Linked DNA regions of Nothobranchius furzeri. The protein of the gene in region 1 purifies or fractionates together with the protein of each later gene. This does not show direct contact. Links are inferred from orthologs where the notes say so. Each region holds a gene or a part of one and is shown on either strand. Other genes may lie near its edges. The genes, in order: pomp and psmb4.

What was found.
Region 2: the proteins of pomp (region 1) and psmb4 purify together in Homo sapiens (affinity purification with mass spectrometry; 3 studies listed by BioGRID and IntAct, counting the BioPlex papers as one, with this or other methods). This does not show direct contact. The link is inferred for Nothobranchius furzeri from reciprocal best matches to the Homo sapiens genes POMP and PSMB4.

Annotation. Positions count from the first base shown.
Region 1 is NC_091747.1:41,727,798-41,731,786, reverse strand, and holds pomp (proteasome maturation protein), read left to right. Parts: upstream 1-1,675; 5' UTR 1,676-1,788; coding exon 1,789-1,791; intron 1,792-2,080; coding exon 2,081-2,178; intron 2,179-2,295; coding exon 2,296-2,356; intron 2,357-2,594; coding exon 2,595-2,696; intron 2,697-2,772; coding exon 2,773-2,866; intron 2,867-3,082; coding exon 3,083-3,150; 3' UTR 3,151-3,401; downstream 3,402-3,989. UniProt on the Homo sapiens protein: Molecular chaperone essential for the assembly of standard proteasomes and immunoproteasomes. Degraded after completion of proteasome maturation. Mediates the association of 20S preproteasome with the endoplasmic reticulum.
Region 2 is NC_091759.1:9,808,095-9,812,627, forward strand, and holds psmb4 (proteasome subunit beta type-4), read left to right. Parts: upstream 1-1,668; 5' UTR 1,669-1,716; coding exon 1,717-1,826; intron 1,827-2,498; coding exon 2,499-2,625; intron 2,626-2,694; coding exon 2,695-2,774; intron 2,775-2,848; coding exon 2,849-2,995; intron 2,996-3,100; coding exon 3,101-3,182; intron 3,183-3,516; coding exon 3,517-3,633; intron 3,634-3,851; coding exon 3,852-3,940; intron 3,941-4,075; coding exon 4,076-4,088; 3' UTR 4,089-4,216; downstream 4,217-4,533. UniProt on the Homo sapiens protein: Non-catalytic component of the 20S core proteasome complex involved in the proteolytic degradation of most intracellular proteins. This complex plays numerous essential roles within the cell by associating with different regulatory particles.

The DNA.
Region 1 (3,989 bases):
GACGCACGTGAGATCACTATTGACATTTCTAGTCTACTTGTTGGAATTTTATATTTTTATTTATTTATTTATATTAATTATCACACCATACGTTTGAGACTAATGTATTTTGAAATGATTTTTTTTGTGCTTGCTTGAAGTGTCACCCCCAAATCAACTTTTTTTTCTGATAAACTATATAAATGCGTGTCTAATCGTACTGCAGACACGTGTAGTCAATAATTTAAAACTTTAGGGCATTTTAGTTAAATTTTCAATTATCTGCCTCAAACTGTCACTGTTGTGCACCTGTCCTGTTGGAGGCGTGTGAGTCTTTATTTGTTGCTTGTTACTACTGTAAACAACACCCTCAATCTCGTTCTTGCACCTTAAATTACTCTATTATTCAGTTGATCGGTTATATTACACAACTCTAGTAAATCATTGCTTTGTTGTGGGGTGACACACTTGATCGCCAGTAACAAAGGTGGAAAACAAGCTAACTTTTCACCGTTTTCCTGCTTAGAGGCAAAACCACGGAGACCAAATATCTAACATAAAGTCTCGTTGGCTTGCTTGGATCGCAGCAACAAGGCGACCAAACATCACCTTCTGGAGTATTTTCATTCTGGAAAGTTACAAATAGTGTATGATTTTATACATCGTTTCTTTCTTTCAACCGCGACATGCACATGAAACACACACACAGAGGCTACACTCACATACCGGTGAGCTAATGCAGGTGCTCTCACACACAACACAACTTCTCTTTTTATACTTCTTCTGTTAGATTATAAATTTGATTGTTTTACTAGAAACACCAGCAAATAAAACGTTTACCTCTCATTCGGACGTCTACATCTGCTCACACCGCAAACAAGTAAGCCGAAAATGTCCGTTATGCAGAACTGCAGCGGCAACAATATGTCATTGGTGCTCCAGTCTTGGGTCTTTCATGTGGATCAAAACCATTTATAATGCTCATTTTGACCACATACCAGTCCCCAACGTCTTTTTTAACCTATCTCTGTGTATTCCGCATCCTTTTTTGGGGGGGGGGGGAGGAATGATGTTTTTAACACTTTCTTTCACCCAAATTAGCTTTTTCTCTGCACCAGTGCCGTTTGTTTCATGGTGTGTTTACACTTGTCAGCCTTCCAACATGGCACATCCCAGCATGCTATGCATAATCACGTGTGACCACAAGCCCTATACTAGGGGGTGACTTGCTCTTTAAGTATATTGTTGTGGGTTAAAAACAAAGCAGCAAAGTGTCTCAAAATTGCTAACCTTTTAAAGATTTATTACTTAAAAAGATTTACAAACACTACATGTGTGTTTCACACATTTGTCCTTTACCAGAATGTTTCATCTGTCTTGTAATTTCCATTTTGTATTTTGTAATTTGTATTTTGTAATTTGAATTTCTTTTATTGTTGATTTATCCAATATATTTACATACAACTGTACAATGTTCAGCGCTTTGGGCTTCCTGACAGGGTTGCAGAAGGCGCTTTATAAATAAAGCTTTGATTGATTGATTGATTGAAACACTAATTTCTTTCATTTATCTGTCCACAAACCATCATTTTTTAAAGAAGTGCAAAGATAAACATGTCACATTTTTTGCGCTTCCTACAATAGGGGATGCAAATTTCGGCAGCTAAGCTCTTTTCGGCACAACACCTTTGCACCTCACTCGTATGATGTCTGTGGCCTGTGCTCTACACCGGATGTCACGTGTTCTAAACACTACAGGAAACGGAAATTTAGGTGGGTCAAAAAGAAAGCGCAAGGAACAAAATCACAATGGTAAGCTAGCATTATTTAACACCAAATTTAAAACTATCCTTTACAGATTTCTAACTGCTGACTTCATCTATTTAACTATAAATAAGTGTACTTAACCCCTCCATGTTGTAGATTATATTCAATATGCGCTTTGAAACGCACCCATTTTGAATTTGATTAGTCACCGGAGCTAATGCTAGTTAGCCTTTTGGGTTATTAGTGCTGGTGTCTAGCTGATGTTAGCGTCGCTGTTTGTGTTAGCTCAGTATGAGCTGATTTAAACGTCATGATGCGATTTTGTGTGCTACAGAATAGCCGAGGACTCCACTCCCAGCTGAAGGACAGTGTCCCTGTCGCTGGACTTTGTCCACAGGGTGCTTACGGAATGCAGGACTCTCTACGCAGCGGGTAAGAAACTACCGCTTTCATATAAACCTAATATTCTACTAGTGTACAGTTATTTAATGACAATCAAGTCGGTGTTATTTTGATAATGAAATAAATCTTTCATTTTTTGTCTAACAGCTTCACGAGCGTAAAGAATGAGCTTCTTCCCAGCCACCCGCTGGAGCTGTCAGAGAAAAATGTAAGTAGTGTTTTACAGCTGTTTTCTGATATGAAGGGACATCACCGTGGTTTTTCATTGTCCAAAGGTCAATCAGGATGAGACTGAACACAGCTAAAATATCAGCATGTGTGTGTCATCTGTGTAATGTTACAATAGACTGATTCCTCAGTGAATAATCGTTTGTTAATTTTTTAACTTTATCTATTATGGAGTTTCTACAGGCTGCTAACTAATCTTTGTGTTTTATACTTTGTAGTTCCAGCTTAACCAGGATAAGATGAATTACTCCACACTCAGGAACATCCAAGGTCTTCATGCTCCACTCAAACTGCAGATGGAGTACCGAGCAGCACGACAGGTAGCTTCGCCTCCTATCACCTCTCCCACATATGCATGCTTCAGTTTTTAAGGCTTTGGTTTTTTTATCCTTCCAGATCCAGCGTCTGCCTTTCTTACCGAGTTCCAACTTGGCTCTCGACACGCTCCGAGGAAGCGATGAATCCATCGGCTTTGAGGACATCCTCAGCGGTGAGAGCCTCATCCTCTTTGTAGACTTTGTTTTCTGACCTCCTTACGGTCAGGTTTAAATAAATATTTAGTTATATACTCTTTTATCACACTACTGCATTCTAATAGTCTTTATGATATCGTCAGCTGAAGTCTGAGTCTCAGATCTGTGTGTGAACATGTGTGCAGACACATTAGCATGAAGCCTAACTAATCATGATGGCTGTGTGTTTGCAGATCCAGCCCAAAGTGAAGTGATGGGAGAGCCACACATGATGGTGGAGTACAAACTAGGATTGTTGTGAGAGCTCCTGTAAATAAAAACCTACACAAAATATTTACTTTGTCTTCTTCAGCATATATTTGATATTTCATTCCAAAACCAAAGTTAGAACCTCAGCTTTTGGAAAATTGTTATTAGAAATCTGTTTTTCTAGCAGGGCCTGGTGTGAGTCAGTGTGTCGGTGTAAAACACACAGAAGCAGGAGTGGTACACCACTTAAGGTTGTTTTTGTGTGATGGATTTTGATTATTTCTAATAAATTTCATGACCTTCCTTGTGGTGTGACTTCATTTCTGTAGTTCTTCATCTGCTTAGCTTGACCTTACACTCCGTTGTCTGAATCTAATACAGCCAGTCAAATAGTAAAAAAAAACCCGCTGGAATTTAAAAAAAAATATATTTTTCTGTGTAAACATGGTTTGTAACACATTTAGATCAACATGACCATAACTTCTTGTATTTAGAGAAATGTATTAATGTTTCAGAGCACAACATGAAGCAGGGTCATCAGTAGGTTGGTTGTGTGGCCACTAGAAGGCACTTAAAGACCGTTCATGGTTCAGAAACAACTCAGAAGTAGAGCCGCTGTGGGTTCTGCAGCACTGTTCTGTGCTCGGGTTAAAAATCAAATTACAACTAAGAAAGATTCTGCTGAACCTTATGTATCCTGCAGTGCAACATTCAAAGTGGCCACGAGGTTATCAGCCTGGAGTGGGTGTCTGAAAAACAATTTGGTCTGCAGGTAAATATTTACATAATAGGATGACTTGCAAGTCTTGTTTTCTGTATGATTCCAGTATTTTGATGGTCAAAATCATGTGATTATGCCTGTTTCCTGTTCATATAGGTGAAGGAGGGAGC
Region 2 (4,533 bases), on another chromosome or scaffold:
AACTAAACAAACCCTGTTCACACACTCCTGTTTTGCTTTTTAACTACTAATCTGAACTGATCCTACGCTTATCTGACGGATTACGTTTGAGGACAAATGACCGAACAGCTGAAATCTGAAAGTGGTGAGAAACGACTCCACAGAGAAGAGTTTAGCCTGAGGAGTAGAAGGGAACAGACTTACAGCTCAGCCCGTCCACTGCCAGGTGAGGAGAGACAGGTGAGGTGGGTGAGACGGATTCTGAACAAACCAAGGAACTTGCTCCACACCTGAGGACTGATGATTTTACAAGTGGACTCTGACTGCCTACATACACACCCCCCACCGCCGGTCTTTCACCTCTTTGTGTGTATGTCTGTACTTCAACTAGAAGGACAATGAAGGTGTGGTGTGTTGCAGCAATAAGGGATCCGCCTGGTTGCTGTGGCAACTCTGACTGTGCAAGCAGGCGTGCCTGGGTTGAAACTGCAGCGTGCGTGTTGCTACCTGCTGAGTGCAGCCCACATGTGTGTGTTTGTGTATGCTGTTGGTGGATTGTACAGCTGACCTGAGCTGCTGTTTGACAGATGCTCTTGTTTTGAAGGTCTGGATTATTGGATAAATTTACACTTTCAATTTCTTACAGCAATATTACAAAATGTATGGCACACATTAAAGAACTTAATAATCCTGTGAAATGTATATCGGTGATAGAGCCTACGGTTTCAGAAAAGGTAGATTCCAAATATGAAACTAATTTATTGTAATGCTCTGGCTGCCAGGTCACCCCCTCTGAGCATGCTTTTGTCCCCAAATCTTACTGAAACATGCACAGAAATGTTTAAATATTATTGGCTCACATTAATTAATTAATTAAATTAATTAATTAATTAATTAATTAATTAATTAATTAATTAATTAATTAATTAATTAATTAATTAATAATAATAATAATAATAATAATAATAATAATAATAATAATTTAGGTTATTATTTTTTAATAAATTACAACTAGGGGAGTCCCAAAGTGAATAAAAGATAAAAGGATACATATTTTTTTCATCATTACTTTTTCTTAGTGTGGACATTAAAGTGTTAATAAAAACAAGCTTCATATGTAGACTATGGTCAGCAAAGAGGACAGCTATTCAAAAAATGTTTACTGGTATGTTTACAGTATGTTTACTGGTATCTGCACAAATGTACATACCAGTAAACAGCAACAGTAATGTTAGAATGTTGTTCAGAGGCATGAAAAAGAGTTTTACGCTAATTTGTTTCCAAAGTTGCTACAGCAACTTTCCTTTTTTAACATATCACATAATTTTAAACTAATGACCCCAAAATTCACATTTTACAATGTTCTCTTTGTTTAAAAGTCAATAATATGCAATTATTGGAAACGGGCATTTTGTTTATTTCTTGACGTAAAAAAAAGAAAATCTCTGTTATTTTTCCTAAATTTTATGTTGGTGTAAATATTAAATTATTTCACAATTAGACATTTGACTGTTTTAGAAAACATGACACTTACAAAAATACAAAAGTCGGGTAGAAATTTTAAAATGGAAGAAATAAATTCACCTTCTAATGCTGACTTAACCATCCTTTAAAGTTTCAGTTGTAATAATTTATTGAAAAGTTATAACAATCTTTGTTTCATCTGTCAAATTAGTTTGTATAAATAAAGTTCTCTTAAAAAAACGTCTCTGTGTCGTCACTTCCTCCACATTCAACATGGAGTCGTACGGAACGAAGCTGAGTTTTTGGGAAAACGGACCAAAGCCCGGACAATTTTACTCTTTTCCCGGTAGCAGTACATCATGTGGTCCGGTTAGACACACGCTGTGAGTAAACGGCATTTTTATAAACTGAATCGGTGTGAAAGTTAACAAATCTAAACGGCGGAATCGGTTTCGGTTTGAACTCCGCTGCTGTGCTGCATCATCATGGCTGCTAACCGATGCTAAATTCACCGTCAATTTGCATCAGTTTTACTGTTCTGTAAAGTATTAGACTCATATTTTGTCTTTACCTAGAGAATATTGTATATATTTTTATTTGCTAGAAAACGTTTTTTTCGGTTTCGGGTTTTGTTTTTCCTTCACTCTTAATGTGTTAGCTTAGTTAGCCGAGCCAGAACTTTGTTTTTGTTTCTAGTCATAAAAAGATCCTGTTCTTTTAGTAAGTAAAACGAATTTAGGTAGTGGTTTGAATTGTGCTGACTGAAGAAAGAAGTTGACAAGCATAATAGTATTAAAAATTGGGCCTTTAACTTGTTTAATCAAGAGTATTTTCAAATTTAATCATGCTTTTTGTTGCGAATCCTTTGAAATCAGTTAAAGTTTGTCAACTTTGAACATAATCTGGAAACGCGATAACAAACGTAACATTTATTAAGTTATTTTTTGAATTTCAGAGAAAAGATTTAAACTAAAATGTATGTGAACTAATCTGGGAGGAATTTCAGCAAAGCCTTAAATTGATTTTATTCTGACATATATTTCTCTTTTCTACAGTAACCCGATGGTGACCGGGACATCGGTGCTTGGTGTGAAGTTCAAAGGTGGCGTAGTCATCGCTGCTGACATGCTGGGCTCATATGGCTCTCTGGCTCGATTCAGGAACATTTCTCGTTTAATGAAGGTGATGACCGCTACTGACAAAGGACTCACTGATGAGTGAAAGTCTCTTAAATCTGCATTTTTGCTGCAGGTGAACGACAACACCATCCTGGGGGCATCAGGTGACTACGCTGACTACCAGTACCTGAAACAAGTCATCGAACAGATGGTGTAAGCTGCTGCTGATCAGAAAAACATTCTGCAGCTTGTGTAAAATGCACTTTCTTAAAGCTTTGTTCTGTTAGGATTGATGAAGAGCTGCTCGGTGATGGCCACAGCTACAGTCCAAAGGCCATCCACTCCTGGCTGACCAGGGTGATGTACAACCGTCGTAGCAAGATGAATCCACTGTGGAACACGGTTGTCATTGGAGGTTTCTACAATGGGGAGAGGTGAGGTGTCCCAAATTATCTAGACACAACATTTAGGATACATCAGATTCATTCTCTTAGCTGTTTTTGGAGATGTAATTAACTGTTTGAATATTTCTTATGTAGTTTCTTGGGCTATGTGGACAAGCTTGGTGTAGCCTATGAGGCTCCCACAGTAGCCACAGGCTTTGGAGCATACCTGGCTCAGGTGAGTTCCTGTTTAGAAAGTCAACAAGTAAATTAAGTGATATTAATTACAGCTTAATTGGAACATGGAAACAAAAAGCTTTTGCCACGTTTGTAAGCTAATAAGTTACAGAGAGGAAGATTCATAAGAGTTCAGAGTGAAAACCCAAATCATATTGTACCATAACAGCTTCAACTTCTACGTTTTACTCTAAGACTTCATATTTGCTTCATCTGTTGTTTAAGAATAGATCTGCTCTGATTTATATACTTTCATATGTTTTAGTATCACAATTGTCATGTCTTACTCTGCTTTAAGAGTGCAGCCTACAGACTGTGTGCGTTTGTGTTTACAGCCACTGATGAGGGAAGTGGTGGAGAACAAGGCGGAGATTACCAAACAGGAGGCCCGGGACCTGGTGGAGCGCTGCCTCAAGGTGCTGTACTACAGAGACGCTCGCTCCTACAACAGGGTGAGTTCACTTTCCATCCCAGACTAATTCCAGATCTAAGATCACTCTTGTGTGCTTGAAATTGCTCATTTTATCTTGCGCTGGCTATCTTTTCCTAATACTCAGCCTCAGTAGTTTCCTATCTAAGGAACCCAGCAAATTGTAACTTAATAGATTGAGAGAACTCTTAGAGACAAGTGTTATAGTGTTTGATGTATTATATGATGTCTGAATTTTAGCATGAGATTGCCATAGTAACAGAGGAGGGCGTGGAGATCATTGGTCCTCTATCATCAGAAACCAACTGGGACATCGCTCATCTGATCAGGTAGGGGGTCAAGATTTATTTTTTGTAAAAATGAAATCTCTGACACAAAATGTTGCCGTTTGTTTTTGTCAGGATCATGTGAAGGATGCTGAAATGTATAAATTTTTTTGTTTTGTGTATTTTTTTTTCCTGCAGTGGGTTTGACTGAAAACAAACAGCAACTAGTTCCCTGCAACATCAAAACAGCTTCTCACTTTCAACTTATCTATCCCAGTTTAGTTTTTTCTGTTTATGGACATTTTTCTAATGGAAAATAAAATGTGTTGATTAAAAATGTGTAGGTTTCCTGGTTTAATCCGTTTCATGTAAAGCTGATCATTTTCTGTAAATGCTTTCTATCTTTTCTACCCACTGGGTGTCTCTGAAAGGCAAAACGTCACCAAACCACACTAAAATCACCAGCAATAACCAAATGTATACTCATCAGTGTTGTCCAGTGATCAAATTGGAAATGGCATCCTAAATGAGGCAGGTATAAGTATGGTAATTTAAAGACCTGGAAAAAATGCACCCGTGACCATTTGTAGATGCAGAACATACGACACCATAAGAAAAGAGCACCAGAAGGAATGCGAGAAGGAAACAACAAAGAC